Drosophila melanogaster: one gene and its partners. The protein of the gene in region 3 interacts with the protein of the main gene of each other region in a biochemical or structural test. Each region holds a gene or a part of one and is shown on either strand. Other genes may lie near its edges.

What was found.
Region 1: the proteins of alphaTub84B (region 3) and Klp68D interact in far-western blotting, tested with the Drosophila melanogaster proteins (one study listed by BioGRID).
Region 2: the proteins of alphaTub84B (region 3) and Klp64D interact in far-western blotting, tested with the Drosophila melanogaster proteins (one study listed by BioGRID).

Annotation. Positions count from the first base shown.
Region 1 is NT_037436.4:11,789,817-11,801,041, forward strand, and holds Klp68D (Kinesin-like protein at 68D), read left to right. Parts: upstream 1-5,797; 5' UTR 5,798-5,882; intron 5,883-6,041; 5' UTR 6,042-6,140; coding exon 6,141-6,805; intron 6,806-6,910; coding exon 6,911-8,600; 3' UTR 8,601-9,059; downstream 9,060-11,225. Other genes in the region: twy (twitchy), read right to left, coding at 462-1,917, 1,983-3,313; CG10907 (uncharacterized protein), read left to right, coding at 3,771-4,360, 4,538-4,921, 4,981-5,187, 5,247-5,574; Gcat (glycine C-acetyltransferase), read right to left, coding at 9,203-9,360, 9,423-10,284, 10,346-10,542, 10,903-10,939. UniProt on the Drosophila melanogaster protein: Plus-end directed microtubule motor that may be used for anterograde axonal transport and could conceivably move cargos in fly neurons different than those moved by kinesin heavy chain or other plus-end directed motors.
Region 2 is NT_037436.4:5,353,715-5,363,989, forward strand, and holds Klp64D (Kinesin-like protein at 64D), read right to left. Parts: upstream 5,679-10,275; 5' UTR 5,541-5,678; coding exon 3,507-5,540; 3' UTR 3,150-3,506; downstream 1-3,149. Other genes in the region: Cyt-c1 (cytochrome c1), read left to right, coding at 6,626-6,697, 6,978-7,025, 7,163-7,311, 7,779-7,911, 7,981-8,274, 8,389-8,616; Uev1A (Ubiquitin-conjugating enzyme variant 1A), read right to left, coding at 10,161-10,275.
Region 3 is NT_033777.3:7,083,547-7,091,687, forward strand, and holds alphaTub84B (alpha-Tubulin at 84B), read left to right. Parts: upstream 1-3,052; 5' UTR 3,053-3,195; coding exon 3,196-3,198; intron 3,199-3,687; coding exon 3,688-5,037; 3' UTR 5,038-5,293; downstream 5,294-8,141. Other genes in the region: tailor, read right to left, coding at 1-40, 144-345, 402-578, 637-772, 829-935, 988-1,221, 1,379-1,811, 1,868-1,966 and 1 more. UniProt on the Drosophila melanogaster protein: Tubulin is the major constituent of microtubules, a cylinder consisting of laterally associated linear protofilaments composed of alpha- and beta-tubulin heterodimers.

The DNA of each region.
Region 1 (11,225 bases), on a different chromosome or scaffold from region 3:
AGTGACAAAAAACGGAATAGACGCAACACCAAAATACTGAACAAAACGTTATTTTCTTAGATTTTCTTGCACCATCACATATTATGTACAAATCAGTTAATTTACAATAAAAAAAAAACAATTATCTTGTGCGCAAGAACTTTAAACACGAACAGCACGAAATAACACAAAACGGAATGCAACAAGCAGTAGCGATGGTAAACGAATCGATATTGTTTGGCAACTATCGATGAAAGATACATCGAACAGATGTTTGAGTATTGGCTAATCATGTAGCCGGGTTTCACTCCATCAATTCAAATTTATTGAGTTTCTAACGAATAACAAAATACTTAACTTTCGAGCGATATGTAATCTTGTATCTTCATAGTTTGTTTATAAAACTTATACTAATTGCCAAGTAATACATTTATTTATCTCAGTTGTTATTATTTGTGCTTCCACAAATTTTTCCACAATATCTACATAAATGCTTCGTCCACATTCAGGCCGTGATCCATGGCCACCTTGGAGTCGTCGTCCAGCCCACCAGCTAACGTCAATAGATAGTCGGGATCATCGATTGAACTACTGGGGGGCGCATTGTACATCCTGCGGTAGGAGGCTTCGATGTTTTCGTCCAGCATTCGATCCACAATGTCACTCTGGACCTGTCCCGGTTCCTGGGACATTTTAAGCAGCAGCTCCGCATGACTGGGTGTCACTTGAGGCAGTTGAAGATCGGTGGCTGCTGTGGGATTTACATTTGCCCTTCGCTGGGCGATTTCCGCCGATTCCGCACCCATTTTGCAGATTGCACACCTGCTGCGAGAAATCTGCTTCTTCAGATTGACCAAAGCCATACGATCCTGCGCCACCAGCATTCGTTCGTGGGCCAGCTGTGCCTCCTTTTCCGCGATTTCCTGGGCCCGCTTGGCCATGACCTTAAGCTTGGCCTGGAGCAGCTGGTCCGCCTCCCTAGCCTTCTGCTCGGCCAAGTGTTGGCGACTAGTGGCTAGGCGGTAGGCGCCGGTGGCTTGGCCCAGTTCGTCCTCCTTGAGATTTAGGGCGTGCTCCTTATCCAGAAGATGGCGCTTGCGCTGCTCCATTTCGCGCTGCAGCTTGTGGTAGCGATCCCGCTCCTCATCCGCCCGCCGAATGGCTTCGCGTGCCACCTGCAGTTGGGCCTCCAGTTCCCGGCGATCTCTGTCTGGGTCGCCGTGCTCATTGAGCTGTTGTCTTAGTTCAATCTGCTGGCGTTCCACTGTCAGTTGATTGCGCTCCTCCTGGAGATCGTGGTGCAGTCGTTCCATTTCCGCAAGCTGCAGTGCTTTAAGATCCTCCACACGCTTCTCGTCCCGCTGCATTTGCTCGCGATGGAATTCTTTTTCGCGCTCGAAAGCCTTGCGCTCCGCTTCCAAGCTGGACATTCGTTGACGGAGCTGCCAGTTCTCTTCGGCTGACTCCTTGGACAAACGGCCCAGCTGCAGCTCCAAGGTGCTCACCAGTTCCATCAGGCGGCGCTTCTCATCGTCGGCCGTCTCCTCGTCCATCTTTAGACGCCTTTCCTGGTCGGCCAGGCGACGTTCTCGCGCCTCCAACTGCCGTTCCCTTTCCTGGTTGTCACTCATCCCGTCACGAAGTTCTTGAAGATTGCTGGACGCCAGACGCAATGTGTCCAGATAATTTCCATGATCCTGCACCGCCGACAACTCCACCATTTTAGCCTGACGAATACCCTCGAGGTCCAGCTCGTGGGATTGACGCAGCTTGCGCACCTCATCCTCATGATCTTGTCGCAGGCTGGAAATCTGCTCCACATAGTCCTCCTTCTGCTTCTCCAGTTTTTCGATGTAGTACTGCCGTAACTCGCTATTCTCGTCCTTGAGTCGTTTCTCTACGACGGACAAGTGCTCCTCCAGCACCTTGATTTGTTTTCTGGACATAAAATTAAATTCTCTTACTCATTTGCATTATTATTTCAGCAGCTGGTTAAAACTTACTTATATGAAGAATCTATCATTTCGATCTCCTGCTCATAGTTGACCTTCATGTTGGCCACCAGCTCATCGAGTCGCTGTTTCTCCAGCAGATTGCGTTTGGCATCCATTTCTAGCAGAAGCAAATGCTCCTGTTCCTGACTGGTCGCCTTGTGGTGCTCCTTCCTTTCCGGTTCCGGTTCCGGTTTCTCCACGAGCGGCGGTGTGGACACCACATCCTGTACACGCACTGGCTGCGACATCATCAGCTGGAGGTGCATGTTGATCCGCTCCTGCTGGCCTTTTATATGCTCCTCCATTTGCTGCTGTCGCTGCAGCTGCTGTTGGATTAATGCCTGAAACTTTCGATCCTGATCCTCTTGGCGACGCTGCATCTCCAATAGAGTCCGCTCTTGACTCTTCATTTGGGCGGCAATCACCAATTGTGCCTCCTGCTGCTGCAGGGCATTGAATTTATGGTTACTCTCCAGGTTGAGATTGCTAAGCATGAGGATATTTTGGGTGGCGGCAGTGACGACGGATGGGGCGGGCACGGCGGCCATTTCCGCCTCCTGCTCCATACCGTTCTCATCGGAGTCGGGCAGGCGCAGGATGTCGGCTGTATTCTTGGAAGGACTTTCACTTGAGGGCTGCGCCTTGGCGGTCTGCGCTTTCGGTGTTATCGGTCGCTGATCCGGCTCCTGCTCCAGACCCAACCAATCCGCGGTAGTTCCCCGTTTTTTCGAAACGGGAGTGGACATTCCCGAAACAGTAGCATTCGTATCCCTGCCAAAAAGGCCCAACGGATCGGCATTCATATTAATGGTGGCCGATTGCGCTGAGCTTCTTCTGCCGGTAGAAGTCTTGGGCCTCGCCTGCGAGTTGTCCGTGGTGGTGTCCGTGGATTGGCGCGACATGGATGGTTTGCTAGTGGCCGGACGTTTGACGGCATCTCCCGCCAGAATCTCATCGAAAATGTTTTTCTTGGGCTCCGCGTTGCTGGTCAACAGATCATCGAAAAGGCTCCTTTTGGTGCCGCCACTCTTGGGTCGTTTGGGATCAAAACCCAAGTCATCGTCCTCGACCAGATCATCATCCAGTGAGATAGATGGCTTCTGCTTCACAATTCTCGGCGTGCTGATGGCATTGGGTGTCTTTCTGGCACCCGTTCCCTGTCCCTGGACATCCGCCTCCGTCTCCTCCTGAATCCCAAACAAATCCTCCAGTTTTCCCTTGGGCTTCGCCAATTTGGCTGGCTTCTTGTGACCCACTCCCGCTGGCGTCTCAAAGAAGTTGTCATTATCCAGGCTATTATCGCTGAGCAGTTCAGCCAGTGGATCGTCGTTGAAATTCATTGTGAATAATAACCAATGGTAAAAAGTAAAAAGAACTATTGATATGTAAACGATACGGTTGCCTAGTAACGAATTTTAAATGTCTACAGCAACGAAAATAATCGAACAGGATAAAGTAGTCTTTAATATTAACTAAGGGATAGCGTAAAAAAATGTTTTGGGATTTCAATGACTACATAGTTTTTAAAAGTATGTTTAATTTCAGGTTTTTACTTAATTCCTTTGCATGAGAGCTTATAGCATTTCCAATGGAGGCTTACAGATATGAAACCTTAGAATAAAAATAAAATCAAACTAGCTTTACACCATTAATTGATATAAATTTAAATTGTTATAATTTTATTAAATTTTTTTAACGATATTAAAAAAAAACAAGTGTTCGAGGAATTGTTGGTATTTTGTAAAGCGTGGAGTGCGGTCACACTGCCGTTGAGATTGTTTTGATTTTTGTTAAAAAATGAGCAATATTTACATCCAAGAACCACCCACGTCGGGAAAGGTGCTCCTTAAGACCACTGTGGGCGACATAGACATCGAGTTGTGGGCACGGGAGTGTCCGAAGGCGTGCCGCAACTTTGTGCAACTCTGCCTAGAGGGCTACTACAAGAACACCGAATTCCACCGGCTGGTCAAGGGCTTTATTGTCCAGGGAGGCGATCCGAATGGCGACGGCACCGGCGGCGAGTCCATATACGGACAGCCCTTCAAGGATGAGTTCCACTCCCGACTCCGGTACACGCGTCGTGGCCTCGTCGGCATGGCAAATTCTGGAAAGGATGACAATGGCTCACAGTTCTTCTTCACATTTGCTCCGACACCGGAGCTGCAGAATAAGAACACGCTTTTTGGAAAGATCACCGGCGATACCATCTACAACATGCTCAAGCTGGAAGATGGCATTGTTGACCACCAGGAAAGACCGATGCACGCACATCGCATCGTTTCTACGGAAGTCCTCTCGAACCCATTCGATGATATCGTTCCTCGTATTCTCTCCCAACCTTCCACGAAGAGCAAAAAGACTAAGAAGGAGCGACAAGGAGTCAAGTAAGACTTACGTTCTAAATCGGAAACCAAATTGTTAACATACTACTAAGTGAAAACAATGAATGATGGCATAATAATGCGGCGTATCTGCAACGTATTGATTTATTTACCATACACTTAAACTGAAGTCTCTAAATACCTTGTAGTGCATTGCTAACGCTTCAATATAATCCACAGAAACTTCGGACTGCTTTCTTTTGGCGAAGAAGCCGAAGGTGACGAGGAGGAGACCAACGTCTATGTTAAACAGAACGCCGGTAAGGCGAAATCCCTGCACGACGTCACAGATGATCCAAAACTCAGCAAGGAGCCCATTCGTGTACCCAAAGTAGAAAAAGCCGACATCGAGGAGCACTTGTCCGACGATTGCCCTGAGGACAGTGTCAAGGATAAACCGTCCACTGCTAGTTCGGATCTCATCAAAATGAAACTGTCTAAGAGATCAAAGAGTGGAGCAGACAAAAAAGTTCAGCCAGTGGAGGAAAAGTCTGATTCTGAGGATGACGAGGATGTTTTGTTAACACGGGAGGAGGAACAAAGTCGAAAAGTCTCGGAGGAAAAGTGAGCTATACTTAAATAGGTTTTATCATGTTTCAAGTCATATAATTTATGTATTTTAGATCCAAGATCCGTGAGGAAATCGCTTCTCTGAAAAAGCAGTATCAAATGGATAAGCAGAGCAAAGACAAACTAGTTAATGGACAAGAGAAAGCAGCAAAGTCCAATGAAATCAAGGGGTCCAGCGAAAACCATTATATTAACGATTTTATAGAGTCTAAGGAGAAGTACACCGCCAAAGTAAAGCTTCAACCGAAGGGACAGTCAAGGTGGGATATATATAAATTTTATTCTTTTCAAAGATTTTACCAATTTTTTTAAACTTTAGAGAGGCATTTACATTGAGCCTACTCTCCAAGTTCCGAACGAAACTGGATAACTTGAAGCAAAAGTCAAGCTCTGATGATGGCGAATCGGAACCGAAGGATATAGACGATCGCGTAGTAGAACAGGAAATAATCGGCGACGATTGGTTGTCGCATACCTTAAATTTTAATAGTACGACTCCGGTTTTAGCTAAGGATGCCAATAAAAAGGGCGACGATTGGTACGATGCCTACGATCCACGAAATCCTCTAAATAAACGTAAGCGGGGCGAAACTGGCTCTAGTAAATCGAGTTCGGGTAAATCAAAAAGCAGTAAACGTGACTTTTAAAGAAAAAATAAAAAAAGATAGTTTCAATAAATATTGATGTATTTATATATATCGTAATTATCTGCTTGCGTATACTATTACCAAAAAACAATTACTATCTACTAAACTGGGTGGTAAGTTAGTGTTGTGCTCATTTCTCTGCCATTTTGAATTGCGCGGTATTGAATTGGGAGTACCGTATTTTCGCTCCATTTGGTGGTGCAACGTTGGTCAGCCTGGGCACACTGCACGTTTGAGCCAGACAAAGTTAACAGCAGCTGAGACAAAAAAGCGAATTCAAGGTGAAGTAATTGGCTTCAAAATAACAGGTAATAGCAGTTGATTGCCAAATCGATTTGCTCATTAGCTCAAGTGGCTGACTAGCTTCAAATTGTGCGTGCAAATCGAGCACAGAAGTGCCCAAATCAGAAGGTTGCGTCAGGAGGGAATTATTGATTTTATTCGTCATTTGTTTTCGGTCGCCACAGCTACTCGACTTTGTTTTTGTTGAGGCGGAGCTGCCTGAGTCACCACCACAGAAAAGAGCACAGTTAACACGGACCTTGTGGATCTCCGGATATTTGGAGATGAGTGCCAAGAGCAGGAGACCTGGCACCGGCAGCAGCCAGACGCCAAACGAGTGCGTCCAGGTGGTGGTCCGATGCAGGCCCATGAGCAACAGAGAACGCTCGGAAAGATCGCCGGAGGTGGTCAACGTGTATCCGAATCGAGGCGTTGTGGAGCTGCAGAATGTGGTCGATGGCAATAAGGAGCAGCGCAAGGTTTTCACCTACGATGCCGCCTATGATGCGAGTGCAACGCAGACGACGCTCTACCATGAAGTGGTCTTTCCCCTAGTCAGTTCCGTTTTGGAGGGATTCAACGGATGTATATTTGCCTATGGACAAACGGGCACTGGTAAAACCTTCACAATGGAGGGAGTACGCGGAAATGACGAACTGATGGGCATAATACCGCGCACATTCGAACAGATCTGGCTGCACATTAATCGCACCGAGAATTTCCAGTTTCTGGTCGATGTATCCTACCTAGAGATTTATATGGAGGAGCTGCGCGATCTGCTAAAGCCCAACTCTAAGCATTTGGAGGTGCGGGAACGTGGATCGGGCGTTTATGTGCCCAATCTGCACGCCATTAACTGCAAGAGTGTCGAAGATATGATCAAAGTGATGCAGGTGGGCAACAAGAACCGCACAGTGGGATTCACCAACATGAATGAGCATAGTTCAAGGTAAGTTTCGGTATAAACAGGCTATACGAATACTCGCATTTCATCAGGAATCCGAGGCTTTCGATAAGGATAAACTTTAGTTAATTAATTATCGTTTACTTGCAGATCCCACGCCATTTTCATGATCAAAATCGAGATGTGCGATACGGAAACGAACACCATCAAAGTGGGCAAACTGAATCTCATCGATTTGGCGGGCAGTGAGCGGCAGTCCAAGACAGGAGCATCAGCGGAGCGGCTAAAGGAAGCCAGCAAGATTAATCTGGCACTCTCGTCGCTGGGCAACGTGATCTCCGCCCTGGCCGAAAGTTCGCCACATGTTCCGTATCGTGACTCAAAGCTGACGCGATTGTTGCAGGATTCGTTGGGTGGCAATTCCAAGACCATTATGATTGCCAACATTGGACCATCCAATTACAATTATAACGAAACGCTTACAACGCTGCGGTACGCTTCGCGGGCCAAGTCCATCCAGAATCAGCCGATTAAGAATGAGGATCCACAGGATGCCAAGTTGAAGGAGTACCAAGAGGAAATTGAGCGACTCAAGCGGCTAATAGGTCCGCAACAGCAGCAACGCAGTGAAAAGCAGGTCACGGCCAAGAAGCAGCGCGTCAAGAAGCCCAAAAAGGAGACCGTAACTAAAGAGATGTCAGACTCTCTGCAGGTTTCAACAATTGAGCAGCCGGTGGAGGATGACAGCGATCCCGAGGGTGCCGAGTCCGAATCGGATAAGGAAAACGAGGCCGAGGTGGCGAAGTCCAACGAGGAACTGGAACGGGAGCGCGTCGAGAACTCAAAACTGGCAGCCAAACTCGCAGAATTGGAGGGTCAACTTGTTCGCGGCGGAAAAAACCTGCTGGACACGTACAGTGAGCGCCAGATAGAGCTGGAGAAGAAGCTGGTGGAGATCGCTGAGCGCAAGAAGCGTGAAATTGAGATCCAACAGCAGCTGGAACTGCAGGAGGAGACTACTCTGGAAATTCGCGAACGAAATGTTTCACTTGAACAAGAGGTGGAGCTTAAGAAGCGCAAGCTCTCCAAATGCTACGCCAAATATTTGGCTCTTCAGCAGGAACTCAACGATTGCAAGTCCGACCACAACCAGGATCTTAGGGAGCTCGAGATGGCTCAGAACGAGCTGGTCAAGGAGCTAAAACGCCAGCTTCTTATCATCGACAATTTTGTGCCCATCGAGGTCAAGCAGCGCCTGTACACGCAGGCCAAGTATGACGAGGAGCAGGAGGAATGGAAATTCTCTTCGATGTCGCTGCCCACGCCTCCTGGTGGTGATGGCAAGTTCAGCAGCAAGCGACCGGTATCGCATCCTCAGCGCAGAAGGCCCACCTCCGAATACGCTCTGCAGGAAGCCAAATCGAATTCACCGAGCTCTCTACGCTTCAAGAGCGAGAACATCGTGAACTACGAGCTGGAGATGCCGTGTCGCACCACCCAGGAGTACCGTACGCCTAAGGTGTCCGCCTCGCTGCAGGCGGTGCTCGCTCAAGCCATGCAAACGGGCGGAGATGATATAGACATCGTGGACTCGCACACAAACTCACTGCGCAGCCGTCTAGAGAACATTATCAACGCGAATGCCAATGGAGGAGCTGGACCAGGTGCTGGCGTCGCTGTGGGCAGCTCCATACCCAATGTTCGCAACATTAAGTCAAGCCGGGGGCTGCCAAGTGCCGCCTCAAATCTGGACTCGAACCGCCGTCCGCCCACGGGCCGTCTGCCGGCAAAGAAGCCAGCTTCGGCGTATCCCAAAGCTCGCGGCCTGGTCAACAAATAATCACAAACGATTTTAATCGAATTGAATTGCATCTAACCATTGTCGTGCAAACACAACACTAACCAAAGTATTTCATAGTCATCGCAATATGTACACCTCGGTACTTTTAGCCCAATCTACTCACATTTCACGCTTTGTAAAAGTTTCCTTTTGTTTTAAGTCATCTCATGCACTGGCCCTAGAATTATAAAGATTTTTTATTAATTCCACTTTAGTTAATGCCATATGCCTTGAGTGACTTGGCCAGTCGACCCCAACACGCTTCCTTAATTATTTTTATGTTTATTTGTTACTCGACTCGAATTATTGTTATTGATTTAAATGCAAACATACGTACGTTTTGTGTTCGATTAAGTGCAATCCAAGCTTGAGTTAAATCCAGCTGCAACTGTCTATTATTTACTTAGTAAATGATTTTTAGTTAATATTATAAACCAAATAAAGCAACTCCGTAAACACAAAAACACCTCTGAGTTAATTTGTTTTTGGGGATTGGAAAACTCATGATGAATAAGTACTACTACAACGTTTGTAGATAAATGCAGTTTCGTTTAATATAAATGCAATATTCAAAATACTGGACTCCATTTGATTTCCATTTTTCACTTGATTACTTTCAGAGAGCGACCGACTTCAATGAATGCATTAATTGCCCGATCGATTTCGGCTTCCGTGTGGGCAGCGGAGATTTGAACACGGATGCGTGCCTTTCCCTGAGGAACCACCGGATAGCTAAATCCGATGACATAGATGCCACGGGCTGAAATTTAATATTAGTTAAATATATATGTAGATAAAGGGATGATTAAGATTTCAACTAACTTAGCATCTCATCGGCAAACTGGGAGGCAAGACGAGCGTCACCTAGCATAACGGGGCAGATGGGATGGTTCTCGCCGGCTATGGTGAATCCAGCCTTTGTCATGGCCTGCCTAAAGCGTTGCGTGTTGCTCTGGACGCGCTGGGTGAGCTCGCTGGATTGGAGGAGCATGTCCATTACCTTCAGACCAACGGCCACAACAGCTGGCGGCAGAGTGTTGGAGAAGAGATACGGCCGGGATTTCTGGCGCAGGAACGAGATTAGCTCGGCGGGTCCAGTGGTGTATCCACCGGAAGCACCACCCAAAGCCTTGCCCAGTGTGGAGTTTATGATGTCCACCTCACCCATGACATTGTCATACTCCTCGGTGCCACGTCCAGTGGCGCCAAAAAAGCCCGTAGCATGACACTCGTCCACAAACACCAGGGCATTGTATTTCCTAGCCAGTTCAACGATTCGGGCCAGTGGTGCGATGTTGCCATCCATGGAAAAAACACCATCGGTGGCGATCAGCTTGAGGCGAGCATCGCTGGCCTTTAGCTGCTCCTCCAAGTCGCCCAGGTCCCGGTGCCTATAGCGCTGTTTCTTCGCCTTGCACAGACGGATGCCGTCAATGATGGATGCGTGATTTAGTTCATCGGAGAAGACCGCATCCTCCGGTGTGAGGATGGCCTCAAAGATACCGGCATTGGCGTCGAAACAGGAGGCGTACAGAATGGTATCCTCGCGCCCATGGAACTGGGCTATCTTCTTTTCCAGCTGCTTGTGTATATCCTGCGTGCCGCAAATGAACCGCACTGAGCTCAGACCAGCGCCATACTGCTCCAACAGCTTCTGGCTGTGCTCCACGATCTCCGGATTGTTCTGGTGGTGTTAGAGAAAGCTTGTAGGTGGACATCACTGGGATCGCAACAAGTTCACTTACCGCCAGTCCTAAGTAGTTGTTGGCGCAAAAGTTGAGTATCTTTTTATCGCTACCTTGCACGGTTATCTGAGTGCTCTGCGAAGATGTGATGATTCGCTCTGCTTTAAAGGTGCCTGCATCCTTAATCCCGGCCAGCTGGGTGCCCAGGATCTCCCTCAGCTGAGCCTGAGCCGCTGCGCTATAGTGGCGTCCTCCCACTGCGAATGAGTACGAAAATATATAGTCTTATTCTAGCAATTTATTTGGCTATTTAAAAGATTTTGTAGTATAATTAAGACACATATTTATATGTATTTAAAGAGAATTTGTCAAATTTTTTCACGTTACTTGTTACTTTAAATTATGTAAATATTTAAAAATTTCAAGGTGTTCAGAAATAGAAATGCACATGTTTCATACACATAGAGTAGATATATTTCCTATTTTCTTATCTATAAAGCGTTATTTTTTTTTCAAATTAAAGAAAATATAATTATAAATATTTGTTATTTGAAAAGTCATTTAGAAATAACCATATGGCATGACAAGAGCTTCATATATACGCTATACAGTCTTACCCCCACGAAAGAGCAGTGATTTGGAGAAAATTGACATATTTTCACTGATTTTTCCTACACTTTTCTATTCGCGAAAATGTATTTCTGGCTGACTGGTGTCCAGATCCGCTCGACGACTCGACTCGCTCTTGACTGAATAATAGCAACCAGGCGACGTGGACGGGCATGGAAACTAGTCTCCCTAGTTGGGGGCTCGAACTGCAAGCAGCTGATTTTTGTTTTCCACTTATAAATAGTACATATGTATGCCTATATATATATGTACATATTTACCTCCCTCACTAGCAAATACATGCCGGCTGGCTTTCATTTAACTAAATTGA
Region 2 (10,275 bases), on a different chromosome or scaffold from region 3:
TTTACTGGGTCCTCACCCATGTCAACCGCCTGCCCGACACTCATGTGATCTGTTACGATTCAGATACAGATATCTGAAATATATGTGGAAGTTGTTATTTAACGGCTGCCTCAACTTCGGGGTAAAGTCTAGCCGATAACCGATAGCGGCAGAGTCATTCACGGAACTTAATCAGTGCTTCCGAAGAGGCGACAAGAGCTAAAAATAAGCGGCACCATTGGTATTTCCCCTCTGAACTTTGATAAGAGTATGCGGAAAATAAAAATATCACAAAAAAATTCGCATATGTAGAAATTAAACTTTTAGTGAAAAACTGTTGAGTGCCGAAAGCAGCTCACACAAATAGCACATTTTAGTTTGGAAAAGAAGAAAATATATTTTTAACAAATATACATCGAAATATATTTATACACGCTTTGATGGTTCACTCTATCTATTTTTAAAATCTATGATCTATTTTAAAGAATGTCAAAGAAATCCAGAAGCGTAAAGATCAAACTATGAGTTCTTTGAACTCAGAATAAATTGGTTTACATTTGAAAATATGACAAGATCCACTTCTTTTAAATGGAAAACCCATTTCACTCAAAGGACAGTCACCCCTATTGCGACTCGTCGTCTTTCGAACCCCGATCCCCAGATAATCCTTATACATATGTCTATCTATCGCAGACAATGATGGGAAAAAACGTCCCCAGACAATCGGAATATGTTGACCCTATTTTTGTCGGTAAACAGATATTGCGACGCGTTCCTGATTTTTGCGATGGCATTTCGAGGTCAATAAATGATACAATGGAAGTGTTTTCACTAACAGTTAACACTTAACACTCGAGTTCAGCACTCTTCTACCGATTCGGTTTCGGAATGAGATCGAGATTGAGAGCGAAGACAACTTACCGGAAAATTGAAATGGCTCGTGACTCAGGCAAATTCCGCGCCGACAAATAAGAGAAATTCGCAGGGGGTGTGGGGGGTGTCTGGGTTCGAGATGACACTATTCGTTGGATCGCTGCTAAATTCAGCCACTGCGAACACGATTTTAACACGATTTTGCTATATAGTCACACAACGCTCACGTGTTAATTATCCATGAAGGGCTACATTGAAAAGGCGCAGGTTTAGGTGTGTATAACTTTTCCCGGATTACACTCTCAATGCGATTGGTTTGATTGGCGGCGAATGGGAACCAAACACACACACACACACACACACGGCTATTTCGATGCAAAAACTTGTGTCACATCAGATTATCGAAATGTTTGATATGGTTATTGTTGCTATGCGGCGTATTGGAAATATCAACGGCTAGTAACTAATTATACAGCGTGGTCGAGTATATGTAATGTGCTGCTTGAGTGTGTTTTTTATTGGGGAGTTTGTTAGAACGCGAGAACGTGGCGTTTATATATGAAATAAAATTTCTTTTTTGTAATTTAGTTGAGCGTCGGGCAATACTCTCAATTTCTTGCACGCGTTACGTATATATTTTTAGCGTCGGCAATTGCACATCCAAATGAAATTGAACAGATAACAACGAACTGAAAACTCGAGTTCAACACGCAAACACAGATCACAGAGAATTAAAGCGATTTTCCTTCCGTTTCGACTATGCGCAGCGGACAGACTGATATTGTGGGCCTGGGGCCGAAGAGTTTTACGATCGCTCGGTTCGGTCTGTCCGCCGAAAGTGCGAGAGCAACCACTCAACTACACTCGACAACAAAACAGTCATTTATTTTGAATATGGTGTTGAATTTAATATATAGTCTATATGAAATGCTATGTGAATCTTGTTTATTTTATACAGAAATATATACTAAATTAAAATGAACCTGCTATCTGATATTCAAGTTTCTAAAAAAGTCCTAATAAAACCGATAGCTTCATGATTGATCATGATTACTATTTCCTTGTAGCTTGGTGTTTCGGTTATTTGTTTCCACTCAATTGGCTGCCAGTGGAGTGAGTAACTTTACCTTGCTCTCGGTGATTTTTCACTCCGATCTTTTTCTTTCACCTGGCAACGCAATTCTCTTTTTCACTTGGCAGATTGGTTTAATGTGAATATATGTAAATTGAACAGTTATTCGTGACGTCTTACTGCGATACCGCTGTCCGCTGAGTGGAGCTCCGCCCCCCAATTCGCAACTAGCTGCAGCTAAATGGGCAAACAAAACGTGCGGCGATAAGAGCAAACTGATAAAGCGGAAATGCTTTCAGCCAGATTCATTTGGGTAGCCTAAAATCTAAGCTGCGACAGGCGTAGAAATTCGCACAAAGGTAAATAAATAATGGATAAAAGTACAGTTTGCTTTCCTTATCGCAGGCTTACCTGCCCAAACAATCGCATCCCCTGCAGGTGGGATGAGTAATCCGGTATCGAAATAACACCTGAACGGACGGCATTTAAGCGAAACGAACATCAAAAAAAGAAGAAAGGACTATTAAATTATGACATTCTTATTTATCGTTCGACTTAAAGCTTTCACATTCTTGGGTTTATTTTAATTTTAAATTATCAGCAACCCAGATTTTTAAATTCCTTACGATTGACTTTTTTCATTTTGCCTTAGAACCTTTTTTGGCGCTGTGCTTTGTTTGCGTTGTGTCAAGCGATTGGCATCTGGTTCCATAGTGTAGCGGTTATCACGTCTGCTTTACACGCAGAAGGTCTCCGGTTCGATCCCGGATGGAACCAGGAGGAAGTAACTTTTTTTTATTTTTATTTTTTTAAACGCTTACTAAGTGGAGTTTTAGCAAACAAAAGTATATAATATGTTATATATAATTCTTTCGTGTTCATAGTATACACAAAAATCAGTTGTTTTTACTTAAGTATTATTTAGTATTTTGTGGGAATAAAAAACTTGAATTTATGTTTTCTGTCGTAATAAAAATTAATAAACATATAATGAATTTAAAAAAATATATACTTTTGTCAACGTGGTTCCATCCGGGATCGAACCGGAGACCTTCTGCGTGTAAAGCAGACGTGATAACCGCTACACTATGGAACCTGTTATGAGTAGGTCGGCCAAATTTCAGTTTTCTTCAGCAAGCCCGGAAAATTTAAAGCATGCTTTCAAGCTGCTAAAAAATAAAAAGAAATTACGCATAATTCCTTGAAGTAAGAATATAAAATAATTACGTGTGAGTATCATATTTTTATTTAAAAGCCAAGAGCACACAATAGTTATATATTTGTGCCTAATCGGGTAAAATCTTGTTACTACTTAGTTGTAAGTATTATAAAATAAATATAAGTTAGAAAGTAAAATTACAAACACAGTAGTAAATATATTGCACCGTTGTTCAACCTAAAAAGTATGTCCTAAGCAATAAATCAACAAAAACTAAGGTCTAACAAAAAGGAAATTCGCTGAGCAAATGAATCTGAGGCTGTAGAAAATCAAGATTAGCAGGAGCAGAAACCAAAATTGGACGCGCAGACCGCCGAGGACATGCAGCTGGACTAGCAGTCGATTGTCCTTCCAACACTAGCTTCAATATCGCCTGGCAGTCGTCGGTCTGGGCACACCCGAGGTTCGCGGCCTGGCGGATTTGGAGCGCATTGGATTGGACACGCCATCGGTGTTGTAGCTGAGATAGACATGTGAGAGATCGAGGAAATCTGGCTCCTTGCCACTCGTCTTGTGCGCCGAGATGTGTTTCCTCATATTGTTACCCGTGTAGGCCACACACTTCAGCTGCCACTCGCCGATGTCCTCGTTCCAGTGCGTATACTGATTAATCATCGATTGGTACTCCTTGGGCACATAGGAATTTAATACCAGCTCACATAAGGCCAATTCCCTGGATAGGCTCCTGATATTCTCGTATATGCCCTCCTTTTCGCGCTGGTGCTCCTGCTGCTGATCCGCCAGCTCCGATTTCACGCCCATCAGCATCTGCATCACCCGGTGTATCTTCTTGGTAATGCCAGTGCTGGCATCTTGAAGCGTGGAGTAACGCTCCTCAATGTCAATCCTTTCGGTGGCCTTTTGCTGTAGAGTTTGCTTCAGCGCCTCCTCGGACTTTTCATGTTGTTCCAGCTCCGCAATGGATTGCTCTAGCAGCAGCTCTTGCGTCTGGGCTTTCTCCAGCAGATTCTCGCCGCCAACGAGAATTTTACCTTCCAATGAGACTAGTTTATTGCGAAGTGTTTCCTGCTCCGTCTTAGCATGCTCGATTTCCTTCTGATGCTCGTTTTTGCGCTTGGCCAGTTCCTCCTTTTCGGCATCGGTTTTCTCGCGCTTCTTCTTGGGTTTTTTCTCCACAGCCTGGATCGTTGATGATTCCAATTCGATCTCCAGTGGTGCCTCCAGTTCGTCATCTGCTGTATCCTCCTCCTCTTCGGAGCTCGGTGGCTCCTCCTCCAAGCTGTCGCCCTCCTCCAATTGCTTGCGAAGTCGGGCAATCTCCTCCTGAAAGTGACGAAGCAAAGCATCCTTGGGTTCCTCATTGATGTGCATGCGATTTTGGATATTCTTAGCACGACTAGCATAGCGAAGTGTGGATATAGTTTCCATATAATTGCTATCCGCTGGACTAATGGTGGCACACATGACGGTCTTGGAGTTACCACCGAGGGAGTCCTGCAGAAGTCGAGTTAACTTGGAGTTCCGATACGGTATGTGGGTGCTTTTTCCATCCACCAAAGCACTGATCACATTTCCCAGCACCGATAGCGAAAGATTAATCTTGGTGGCCTCTTTAAGTCTCTGTCCACTGGCCTGGGTCTTCGACTGCCTTTCGGAGCCGGCGAGATCCACCAGCTGTAGTTTACCCATCCTTACGTGCTGGACATCACCTTCGCCCAGCTCACTTCTCTCCACAGTAATGGAGAAAATGGCATGGGAGCGGGAGCTCTCCTGGTTCATTTTGGTGGCTCCCACGGCACGATTTTTGTTACCCAAACGCATGATGTTCTCCAGATCATCGGCGTTGTGCACCACATAGCCACTGAGATCCTTAACAAAGACACCGATGTCCGGTCGCTCCTTGACCTCCAGGCTCTTGCCCACATCCTTGCCCAGTAGATCCCGCACCTCTTCGTTATAGATCTCCATGTAGCTGACGCGCACCAGGAACTTCTGATTCTCCTTGGCCTTAGCAATGTGACCAAAGATGTGCGCAAATGCATTCGGAATGATGCCCTTTGTTTGCGGCGAATCCGGATTCCCCGACATGGTATACGTCTTGCCGGTGCCCGTTTGTCCGTAGGCCAAGATGGTGCCATTATAGCCCTCCAGCACCTTGTCCACAATCGGACGAGCGGTGTCCACATAGAGATCCATTTGATTGGAGCCACCATCGAATACATTGTCGAAGTAGTACGTTTTCGGCGGTTCATTGGCGGTGGCATTCGGTTTCATCACCGTAATGGCCCGGTTGATCTTATCCACCGAAATCGCACTTAGCGCTCCCGCGGACAACTCATTTTTGTCCATGGGTCGCGTTCGCACCACCACACGCACATTCTCGATTTCGTCATCGAGTTGGGCCGTTGTTCCCGCATTTGCCTCCTCCTGCGGCATGGCGATCTACGTCCTGGCTTTATTCCTCGTCTAGTGAAAGCTATTAACCACTATTTGCGCTGACCGCACTTAGTGGAAATCAATAAAGGGGGTTTTTTCTCGCATTTGTTTATGCGTTGCTAGGTTTTTTTTGTTGGCGAATCATTAACGGGTGGTCAGCTGTTATCGATAAGTGTGCGAAAAACGGGCGAGAAGGATGCCAGACCAGCGGAAAAATCTATTCATCAGTGAGACAAAATAATTTTATATATTTTTTTTTAAATAATATATATATAAAAACAATTAGCAAAAATAAAAATAAAATTATAATATTGACCTGTGATATAAGCAATCGAAGGTTATTTTGTGAACTGCGATAATTGTACTTATTTTTACTTTTTGAAAATCCTTTTTCAAGGCTTTTAAGAATTTTATAGATATTTCGAAAAGAATTCAATAATAAAAATTAAAATCTTTTTTTGTGATAACAGCGCAGTGAAACATGAAAAATTACATAACAGCAACCAAAAATTTGGCTAAGGCTAAGGCAGCTGTTTTTAGAGCTGTTCTGTCAACTTATCTTATGAAATCATCAAGTGGTTTCTAAAAAATCAAAAAATCCAACTTAATGTCAACAAGTAGTTCCAATTAGATTATGAAGTATTTTGAATCAACAAGTTGGAAAACCGTAAATTCGAAGATATAATAAAGAACATGAAAGAAAAAAAAAACACTAAAAGCAATTAAGGTACACTGTGTAACAAATATTTATTAAAAAAGAAAAAAATAAAAAGTGATATTTTAAATGTATTATTTAAATTATACATACATTAATATCATATTATAAATAAATATCATACAGTAAATAAAAAAATAATAATAAAATAAAATTAAAATATCTGTTTAAAAATACCAAAATATCGCCCCCGCCGATTCCGATTCGCTGGCAAACGAGCGAGTTGCCCACCACCACCTCCGCGAGAGAGCAGCGAAGAAGAGGAAGACGTTGTGGCAGTGGTACTGAAAGATTGATTCGATTGGCGATTGGCTGCCCGCAGAGTTTCCTTAAACGACCAGACGACGCAGAAATTAAAACTCCGGCCACCATGGCAGCGACATTGCGAAGATTCCATGGCTTGAGATTGCTGAAATCCGCGCCAGCACTCAGCCTGCAGCAGGTAAAGATCGTGAACGGCGGATGCAAGTTTTTCAACAGCCACCGCAGCACCTTGAAGGAGTCGTGTGTCCGATGGAGAAAAACATGAAATAATACCGTAAAACATAAAATACAAGGACCAATGGTGCACTCTAGGTGGCACAGTGAGTGGTATCCGCAATTCCAATGGGATTAAATGAACTCGGATACGAACCGAACAATCCAATTATGTAACTCCGTGCAAAAATTCTTACTCTCCTTGGCCGAACATCCAAACTAAATGACATCCGTTCTTTTTGCAGGCGAAGAACCTCTCCTCCGCCGGCAGCTGGGCCAGTGGCAACAAGAAGGTAAGTCAGCTAGTCAGGAATCTCACATATTCCCCCACTTCGCATTTCATAATACCCGATCGGACCTAACCTCAAAACGCGTTTGCTTCTCGGTGACTGTGTGCGGCTGTATGTGCGTGTGTGTGCATCACGAACAGCTGATCGGCGCCTTGGGAGCAATCACCGGCGGAGTGGGCGCCCTTATCTACGCCCTGGAGCAGTCCGTGCAGGCATCTGGCGGCGAGGTGCACTCCCCCGCGCAACTCTGGAACCACAAGGGCCTCTTCGACGCTTTGGACCACCAGAGGTAATCCAAAAAACGGCGGTTAAACTGATCAGTGGTCGGGAACTGGGCATTTCCATCTGTGGTGGAGCTAACTAAGTGCATTTCTAGTGAATTGGTTTAGATTGCTGTCAAATTTCAAAAAGAGTTCTTTAATGATTAGAGAGATTTTGTTTGAAGTATTTTATTTTATCTCAAACTCGCCAATACAAATATCATATTCAATTTAGAAAACGTAGCCAATTTTCCCGGCAAATCTTCTGTAATCTTTAAAAACTGATAACAACTATAGATTAACAACAATACTTTGCTCATAAAAGCTAATCAGAACAGCAACTAGCAGAACATAGAAGATTAATGGATTGTTAAATGGGGATTTTAGTTAAAATTAAAGATATTAAAGAATGTTTTGTAGTATCTGCATATAAGATGGCATTTGCCCACTGACCCTGCTATCCAGTTAGTAACATCATCTCAATTCCTACTTTCAGCGTTCGTCGCGGCTACGAGGTGTACAAGCAGGTGTGCTCCGCCTGCCACTCGATGCAATACATTGCCTACCGCAATCTGGTTGGTGTCACCCACACCGAAGCCGAGGCTAAGGCTGAAGCCGAGCAGATCACGGTGGGTATTCGAATTTTTAGATTTCTAGATCTAAATGTTTCCTAATTGATTTGAATGTCCCCGTTACAGGTCAAGGACGGTCCCGATGATACCGGCAACTACTACACTCGTCCTGGCAAGCTGTCGGACTACTTCCCATCGCCGTATCCCAACGAGGAGGCGGCCCGTGCTGCCAACAACGGTGCTTATCCTCCGGATCTGAGCTACATCGTGTCGGCCCGCAAGGGCGGAGAGGATTACATCTTCTCGCTGCTCACGGGCTACCATGATGCTCCTGCCGGAGTGGTGCTGCGCGAGGGTCAGTACTTCAACCCGTACTTCCCGGGCGGTGCCATTTCCATGGCGCAGGTTTTGTACAACGAGGTGGGTGGCTGATCAAATACTAGTTCTATATTTTCCTTCTCAGAAAGAAACTAATGATTTGAAAACGATATAAGAGAACACGATTGCAATCTTTAATGATTATCCCCTTTCCAGGTCATCGAGTACGAGGACGGCACACCGCCGACGCAGAGCCAGCTGGCCAAGGACGTGGCCACTTTCCTGAAGTGGACTTCCGAGCCGGAGCACGACGATCGCAAGCAGCTGCTGATCAAGGTGATTGGCATCCTTGGCTTCCTGACCGTCATCTCGTATTACATTAAGCGGCACAAGTGGTCGTCGCTCAAGTCGCGGAAGATTGTGTTCGTGCCCAAGGAGAAGTAGAATGTTTGAATTTGATTTTGATGGTGTGAAGAAATGCAGTGTTATCGCGGCTTTACCGACTAATAAAGATAAATCAATTTTAAGCAAAAACCAAAACCACACACAAGTGAACAAGCAACATCCGCAACCACCAAGTCAATGTTCTCTCCGCTGAAAAATATAAACACAAATACTATCCCAATATGCGAGAGCCAGCCAACCAAACGATTCAAAATAAAACTAAATAGCTAAATCTAAAACATCCTTGGTAACCTACTGATGGTAACCAAACAAAGATCGGATCGGAAGATTCAATGAGCGGGGGATTGAGGCTACAAAGACTACAGGAGCCTAGCGAAATGATTGATGGATAATGTGACATTGATTGTGTATAGAATCGATAAATCAATTATGTATTTAAAACAATAAACAATTGACAAATAAACGGAAATGATGGTTGGTTGGAAAATCATTTCTAGGCGGGACATCAAAATGTTTCAATTTGTTACTTGATTTTGTTTTGTTTATAAGTTTTTAAGTAACCCCACTAGATTACATGGATACACTACGTTTTATTGGATTAATTGTTTTATTTAGAAGCTTAAATTAAAGTATTATTTTAATCATCGTTCATCGTTCTGTCCGCTCGATTTGCTCATCGGCTTAGTGTGTGTGTGTTTCTATATATATATATATATATCTATAATTTCCACAATTCAATGATTATAAATCGCGTCCCTCGTCCCAAGCGATTCGGGAGGAAGATTTTCGAAAGAATAGAATATAAAATCAACTACAAAATCGCTTCATCAATGATAAACAAAAAAAAAAAACGTTCGTACTGGCGCCGTCTACAAAAATTGTGTTCGACATGTTGGTTTTATTTAAATTAATATATATTTTGCTTTATGTATATAATTAATAAATTTTTAGTTTAGGCAAAAAAAAACAATAATTACGCTCGGATCTCACGCTGTGATCTTGATTAATCGTTATCATTGTTATGCATTACTTTTCTGTTCGATTAGTTTACGAATTTTCGATTTGAAGTTTTGAATCTGAAACATTCAGGCATTTAACTTGTTTCTTTTGCTGCTGTTTTATTTCTTATTCAAAAGAAGTTCTCATATTTTCGTTTCGTTTTGTTTGGGGACTGAAGTTGAAGTAGTAAGAAGAGTAAGGTAACCAAACACGATGACATAGTTCATGACGGAAGGGACGACGACGACCTCTTCATAGTGACGCTCCTATCGCATTTTTCGCTGCTGTTCCCTTTACTTATAGTATATAGCTTGCATTTGGTTGTTGTTCTTGCCACAATAACCGCACTCGATCTTTATTACGTTCATTAATAAGCATACGCTGCCACCGATGGCAACTCGGCGGAGCAGCCGCCACACAATCTCTTTTTAATTCCACGCACGTGTGGCCACCTTGGTCTTGGACTTTTGGACTGATGATGGTGGTTCGTTTTCCGGCTCTTACTGGGTGTGGATGCTGCTCCCGCTCGCGTTGCATTCGATGCTGTTGCAGCTGCTGCTGGTGTTGCTAACGGATGTTGTCGACTAAAAACAGCTACCTTCTGGCGGCTGTGCCAGCTTCAGGTTCTCTTTCATGGTCATAATCCTACGGATTTCCTGCAGCATCGTTTTTATATTGTACTCGCGACTCCATCTGGCC
Region 3 (8,141 bases):
GATCGAGCATTCAGGGTTGTCCGACACATATGCTGAATACCTAGTAGCAGGGAAAGTTTTTTTTTTTTTTTTTTTTTTTTTTGTAATTTCTATATAGCATTACATATTTAAAGGGCTTAAAGTTAAGCAATTAATATTCTCACCTAGCATGCAGCATCCTCTCAATCTTCGCGATTTCAACATTAGCCTGACCTATATATGGGCAGACCAAGAAATGCTCGTAGTCAAATTTGGCGAAATACGCAAAGAAGTTTCGAAGGAAGCCCTTGATGACGGGGACGGTCGCCTTTAATTGCTGCAGTCCCAGTTCGCTAAACGATTTTTGTGCAAAGTTGACAACCCACGCTGTAAAGAGACGACTTACTTGGTGAATCCCCCCAAGAAACCGACGATGTACTTACGACCCACGAGCACGGCCTGATTGGCTGCATCCTCTATCTGCAGCATGGCAATGGGGGGCAGCAGGGCCTGGAGCTGCAGGAAGTAAATCACCATCAGTGTAATGCTGTACGTCGATATTTGTTCAGTTAGCTTGCAGCGCTCCAGCCAGTTCTTTACATATATGCACATATATTGAGCTGCAAGGGAGCGAATGCAAAAAGATAACATGGACTCTATCCGGCAGCATGTGCTTACTCAGTGGCTGTGACTCAAATATGTATTTGAGCAGATTTGTATTGCAAAAGCCCATGCTGTTCAGACAAATGTCGCACTCGATACCGGTTGGTAAGTGGCACGTCTTGATGATGGGCACGCGAGCCTGTTCGATGAACTGTTGAAGAAAGTGCAATGGTAAAAACGAACGTATTGCTTAGGGACACAGCTCACATTAATAAGACGCCAGTCCTCGCTGTCGCAGAAGAACTTCCTCATAGCCCGCAGCTTGGCGACGGTAGCGTTGGAAGCTCGATGCTCGAACGTGTGAAATGTGTTGCCTGCCAATTCAGAAGCCAGGTGAAATTGGTAGGAGCTCAATGCAGTACTAACCCGACTTACCGATGTCGACGAAGAGGTCCAGGTCCGAGGATCGATTTCCAATGCCTGTGATGCGGGACCCGAACTTGTAGACTCGCAGTGGTTGTTTGGGAAAGCCCGGCGACAAAAGCTTGCACAGGTCCTGTTCGATAACGTCGTACTCGGGAATCACCTTTAACTTGTCCGCTATTGGGTATTTGTCCTTAAACACATTCGTAATCTCTCCCACAATCATTGCCCTGGCCTCTGCAATGTAAAAAGTATTTATAAAATATCGCTGGCTCTAAAGAAAACATATTAATCAAAGTATTGAGGCTTTATCAATCTAACATTTACAAGTAGTCAGACCACAATTTTTAGACTGCACTTCTGCGTAAGTAAATGAAATGAAATGGTGACCTACTCTTGGGTAGCCGTACTGTTATATGCTGACGAGCCTTCACCTGGGCCTGCTTTTTCTCCTGTTTCGTCTGATGCGTCGGATGCGGCTGGACTGGCTGATTGTTGGGATTGGGTTTTGGATGCTGCTCCGAAAGGTGGGCCACAGCTTTTGCGATGGTGGTGCCCACTATGCGGTTGCTGCAGGAACTACAGCTGAATGTTCGCTTTATTGTCTGCAGCTCCTGGGGCTGGACGAAGGCCACGCCCTCACCCGGTGCGGCCATCTCCTGCGGCAAAACGTATGTGGGATTCCTGTCCAAGTAGCTCTCGATGCCCACCATAATGCGCTCCAGCAGGTTGGCCAGGTGCGGGTCTAGCTGCGGCGGATTCGTCGTCTGGTTCACTGAGTTTAGGGTCTGCAGAAAGAAGTGTGCCTCCATGGTAAGCGGATTCATCTGCACGATCAGCGGGCTTTAGTCTAAAAATTCGAATGATACAAACTCGTACTCACGTAAAGCAGTTTGTTTGGCATCATCTCGGCCATCGTCTTATTCTTCTTCGTGGCCTTTGTTACCGGAGCGGCTATGTTGGGCGCGGTGGAGCCCGGAAGCTGAAAGGTTAATCGAATGCGTTAACTTTTCTGCAACTCGAAAGTTTGCCGCCTTTGTTCGACTGCCAATAACTGTTGATTCGAAAATTCGAATCGAAGCGGTTGAATTTCGTAGGGTGGCCAACTACACCAAAGTTCGCCGGCGGTGTATGCATGTGAGTGTGAGTGTGACAGTGGGTGTACGTGTGCTTTAAGCGACACAATCGCACCGCGATGTACATATTTTTGTAGAAATGTGTGTGCATTTTTCGTCCGGATCACGGCTCCATAAAATAAATCATATCACAGGGCTCAGGGATTTGTGAGTAGAAGTTCCCGCCACTTAAACGTCACTTGTGAAATCGCCATCGACGGTCAACTTTTACTCACACTGGTCTTCCGCGGACGGACCGTCTCAAAGTACTGCCTTTCTGCGTTGGAAAACATCGCCTTTTTCGTCCAAAAGGAGTCCCCAGGTTCGATCCGCATGGCGTTGTGCGTGCGTGCCTTTCTTTTCAAATGATTACGGCTATTAACTTGGGGGCGTTAAGTTGGAAACACGTAAATTGCAGACTGCGATTAGAGTGACCATGAGTAGGAGTTCAAAATCTCCTGACATCATTTTCTTAAAACCTGCTTTGTTTTTTACATTTCTATTTAATATAACTCCTATTTGAATAAAAAAACAAAACAAGTTTAGATGTTAAGATATTAACTACATCCTTTGCTCCAAAGGGAGAGGGGAAGTTATGGAGTTAATTAATTTGCTGTTGGAAATCAATATGGAGTCAGAAATATAATGATTTACTAAACCTTATTGAATCGGTAACGATGCGAATTTATATTAAAATAGCTTTTATGAAACATTCAACAAAAATATTATTAATGTTGGCCCACTTTAGCAACCGGTTAGGTCTACCGGTTGGGCAAGCAAAGATTCACGCCCTGGTTCGAGTCCCAACTAGTCCTGCAAAATACCGCAGCAAGTTTTAGAGAGACCAAGTGCCATTACCTCTCCCACTTCAGTTATCGGTTATGCGGCGTTTAAGTCGACAGCTTGCCGTCTCTAGCTCCGGTGCCTATATAAAGCAGCCCGCTTTCCACATTTCATATTCGTTTTACGTTTGTCAAGCCTCATAGCCGGCAGTTCGAACGTATACGCTCTCTGAGTCAGACCTCGAAATCGTAGCTCTACACAATTCTGTGAATTTTCCTTGTCGCGTGTGAAACACTTCCAATAAAAACTCAATATGGTGAGTACTTTAAAAAAAAATCTAGTGAAATAATGCTGAAAAGAAATTTGTGTGGGCAAAATTCAATGGGCAAAAACGCGATGCGGCTTTTTCTCAAAATGGCGGCCGGCCTGCGTTTTTTCCTCAAAAGTGATGACGTCATGCCTGTTTTTTTTTTTTGTTCGCAATGAGGAATGGCTCTTAAAATCTAGATAAAAAAAATATTCATTATTTCTATGCTGCTGGAACGCTTCATTAATCTTAAAAATTCTAAATTCGGTTACCATGATACTTCGACGCATAACTGTAGATTTTGGATAGAATTAAAGAGAAAATGGCGAGAGAGTAAAATTCCGGCGTCGGCAAAGTAGAGCAAAAAAATCAGTATACCATTTAGCTACCTCTCTCACTCGCACGCAGTGCCGGCTCAAGTTGGGCGCGGCTCTGCAATTATCGATTTTCTTGGGGTGTGTAACTAATCATCCGTTTTCCCTTCCTCCTCATCCACAGCGTGAATGTATCTCTATCCATGTTGGTCAGGCTGGTGTCCAGATTGGAAACGCCTGCTGGGAGCTCTACTGCTTGGAGCACGGCATCCAGCCCGATGGCCAGATGCCGTCTGACAAGACCGTGGGCGGAGGTGATGACTCGTTCAACACCTTCTTCAGCGAGACTGGAGCTGGCAAGCACGTGCCCCGCGCCGTGTTTGTGGATCTGGAACCCACTGTGGTCGATGAGGTCCGTACCGGAACCTACCGTCAGCTGTTCCACCCCGAGCAGCTGATCACTGGTAAGGAGGATGCGGCCAACAACTACGCCCGTGGCCACTACACCATCGGCAAGGAGATCGTCGATCTGGTTCTGGACAGGATCCGCAAGCTGGCCGATCAGTGCACCGGTCTGCAGGGCTTCCTCATCTTCCACTCGTTCGGTGGAGGTACCGGCTCCGGCTTCACCTCGCTGCTGATGGAGCGTCTCTCCGTGGACTACGGCAAGAAGTCCAAGCTGGAGTTCGCCATCTACCCAGCCCCCCAGGTGTCCACTGCCGTGGTCGAGCCCTACAACTCCATCCTGACCACCCACACCACCCTGGAGCATTCCGACTGCGCCTTCATGGTCGACAACGAGGCTATCTACGACATCTGCCGCCGCAATCTGGACATTGAGCGCCCCACGTACACCAACCTGAACCGTCTGATTGGCCAGATCGTGTCCTCGATTACCGCCTCTCTGCGATTCGATGGTGCCCTTAACGTGGATCTGACTGAGTTCCAGACCAACTTGGTGCCCTACCCACGTATTCACTTCCCTCTGGTGACCTACGCCCCCGTTATCTCCGCCGAGAAGGCCTACCACGAGCAGCTGTCGGTGGCTGAGATCACCAACGCCTGCTTCGAGCCGGCCAACCAGATGGTCAAGTGCGATCCCCGTCACGGCAAGTACATGGCCTGCTGCATGCTGTACCGCGGTGATGTTGTGCCCAAGGACGTCAACGCCGCTATTGCCACCATCAAGACCAAGCGCACCATTCAATTCGTCGACTGGTGCCCCACTGGCTTCAAGGTTGGCATCAACTACCAGCCACCCACCGTGGTGCCTGGAGGTGATTTGGCCAAGGTGCAGCGTGCCGTGTGCATGTTGTCCAACACCACGGCCATCGCCGAGGCCTGGGCCCGTCTGGACCACAAGTTCGATCTGATGTACGCCAAGCGTGCCTTCGTCCACTGGTACGTTGGTGAGGGTATGGAGGAGGGAGAGTTCTCCGAGGCCCGTGAGGATTTGGCTGCCCTCGAGAAGGACTACGAGGAGGTCGGCATGGACTCCGGTGACGGCGAGGGTGAGGGCGCTGAGGAGTACTAAGCGTCACGCCACTTCAACGCTCGATGGGAGCGTCATTGGTGGGCGGGGTAACCGTCGAAATCAGTGTTTACGCTTCCAATCGCAACAAAAAATTCACTGCAACACTGAAAAGCATACGAAAACGATGAAGATTGTACGAGAAACCATAAAGTATTTTATCCACAAAGACACGTATAGCAGAAAAGCCAAGTTAACTCGGCGATAAGTTGTGTACACAAGAATAAAATCGGCCAGATTCAGTGTTGTCAGAAATAAGAAAACCCCACTGTTTTTCTTTGCCTTTTCTTTCTCCCAGCGATCATTCATTTCGTGGTGAAAGAACGGGGTCATTGCACGGAGTTTCGACTGCGGGAAAGCAGAGCTGCCGTTCACTTCGTCTATAATTAGCGCTTTCTATTTTCCCCGATTCGGGCCGCTGCTGCGCTTTTCCGCCTGCTGTTTGTGGCAAGTGTAGCAGCAGGCTGTGCACGCAGTGTGGCATGCACTTGGCTTTCCACCGTTGGTATCGATTCTCTGGGACGATGAGTCATTCCTTTCGGGGCCACAGCATAATCGTTGCCAGCTCACCGAAATGGTGACTTCATTTCTTAACTGCCGTCAAGCATGCGATTGTACATACATACATATTTACATATGTACATATTTATGTGACTATGGTAGGTCGATATAATAGCAATCAACGCAAGCAAATGTGTCAGTCCTGCTTACAGGAACGATTCTATTTAGTAATTTTCGTTGTATAAAGTAATTATGTATGTATGTAAGCCCCATAAATCTGAAACAATTAGGCAAAACCATGCGAAGCTTCCGAATTTAACTACGAGTCTACGAGTTAAATATGTATGTATGTACGTATTGAAGTGACCGCGTTTGTACATACACATTATGTATGTACTTTGTGCAGGCCTTTAATGGGGGTTGATTTGCCAAAACGAAATTGGAGCCTAGGTAAACCGGTTGGTTGTTGTGTTGTACTTGTAAGTATGTAGACACATACATACATAATCCGCCTGCTCCGTTTGCGCCCAATGCGGCATTTTCATGAAACAGACCGAAGAGGCAGCTGCTATCGAATTTCCAGAAATACCCAGGCAAACGGGCAGGAAATGAAGCACGGGAGGCAGATGTGCTTGGAAAATGTGTACACTGTATTGACGAGAAATGCACAAACGCACACATTGCATGTAAGAACGTGCATACATACATATATGTATGTACATACATACATAAAATAGCATTTACCGGTAGAGACTGGCGCCTTTATTGAGGTTATGTCTGATGTCATTTGGTACAAATGTGCAAAGAAATGGGTCTTTTTTTTGCCGTTGAAATATAGTTTACCTAACAGCACGCACCTAAGACTATTTAAGAAACAGTTTCAGCCTTAAAATCACGCTTTTTCGGCGATAAATGCAAACAGTTGGCTTCATGAAATCATAGCCAGCTGCCAACGCAGATTTGGTATGGCGATATGACTATATATGTACATACATACGTACGTACATACATGGATAGTGTCAAACGCCAACGCATTTTTATAATGACGACACTTCGGAACCGGCTCACAGAGATCTGCTCAGAAAGGTGTGGGTGGATAAGGCGGTTTCGTCGGCGGTTTTATGGCCAGCAAGCCCCCACAATCGAGCTCTGATGAATACGGATGAATGTGTAAGCCGAAATGTTTGATCAATAAAGTAAAGTTCGGAAATATAAAATGCTTCGCTTTGCAAAATAAATAAGAATACAGAACACATACGTACATACATATGTATGTATGTCTGAACTGCAAGAGTGGCATTTTTTGCCACTCAACCAATTTGAGTGTCGGGTGCCACTCCCTTACGGGTACTCACTTATAACCTTCGTGTGTTTTGCAAGCACTCGGGTGCGCGCGCACCCGAATCATTGCGGAACTCTTCGTCGCGAGTGCCGAACACACTCGCCACTCAGAAAAAAGGGAAACAGTGAGAAAAAGGCAAGTACGCAAAAAGTTTTGAGTGGCAAAAATAGTCATAATTCGAAGCCAAAGAAAGAGGTCGCAATTATGGAAGAAAAGGCAGATATTATAAAAACTAAAATTTTGAATGGAACTTACTCGGTTGCCATTCAACGTAAGGGAAAGAGTGTGATTTGGAGCATTTTATGTGACATTTTAAAGGAAAATGGAACTGTTCTTGACGGATGGCTGTACTGCAGTAAATGCCGCAAAGTGCTCAAATTTGTACCTAATCACATTTCCAATTTATCCCGACATAAATGTTGCCTGACATTAAGACGACCAACGGAGTTAAAAATTGTTTCTGAAAGCGACAAGGAAGAGGCCATTGAAGTATGCACCCAATGGGTTGTGCAAGATTGTCAGTCGTTTTCTGCGGTAACCGGTGCTGGATTTAAAAATTTGGTACAGTTTTTCTTAAAAATTGGCGCAGTTTATGGGGAACACGTGGACGTCGATGACTTACTCCCTGATCCAACAACATTAAGTCTTAAGGCCCATTCGGAGGCAGAAGAAAAGGGTACTCTAGTCTCGGCCGCGATAAAAGAAGCTGTAGATAGTGATAGTGGAGGAACTATGACAGCAACGGCAGATTTAATTAAAAAAAAAATTATGAATGGAGCTTACACTGTTGCCAATCAACGTAAGGGAAAAAGTGTGATTTGGAGCATTTTATGTGACATTTTTAAGGAAGATGAAACTGTTCTGGACGGATGGCTGTTTTGCAGTAAATGCCGGAAAGTGCTCAAATTTATACAAAATCACACTTCCAATTTATCCCGCCATAAATGTTGCTTACAATTGAGACGACCAACGGAGTTAAAAATCGTTTCTGAAATCGACAGGGAAGAAGCCATTGAAAAATGCACCCAATGGGTTGTGCAAGATCGTCAGTCGTTTTCTGCAGTAACCGGGGCTGGATTTAAAAACTTGGTACAGTTTTTCTTAAAAATTGGCGCAGTTTATGGGGACCAGGTAGACGTCGATGACTTACTACCTGATCCAACAACATGTTGAATGCATACCTACATATGCCAATATTGATTTGTTGAAATTTGTAAAACATCGATACTATCATTGTTTTGAAAAAAAAAAAAAACGGTAGAAC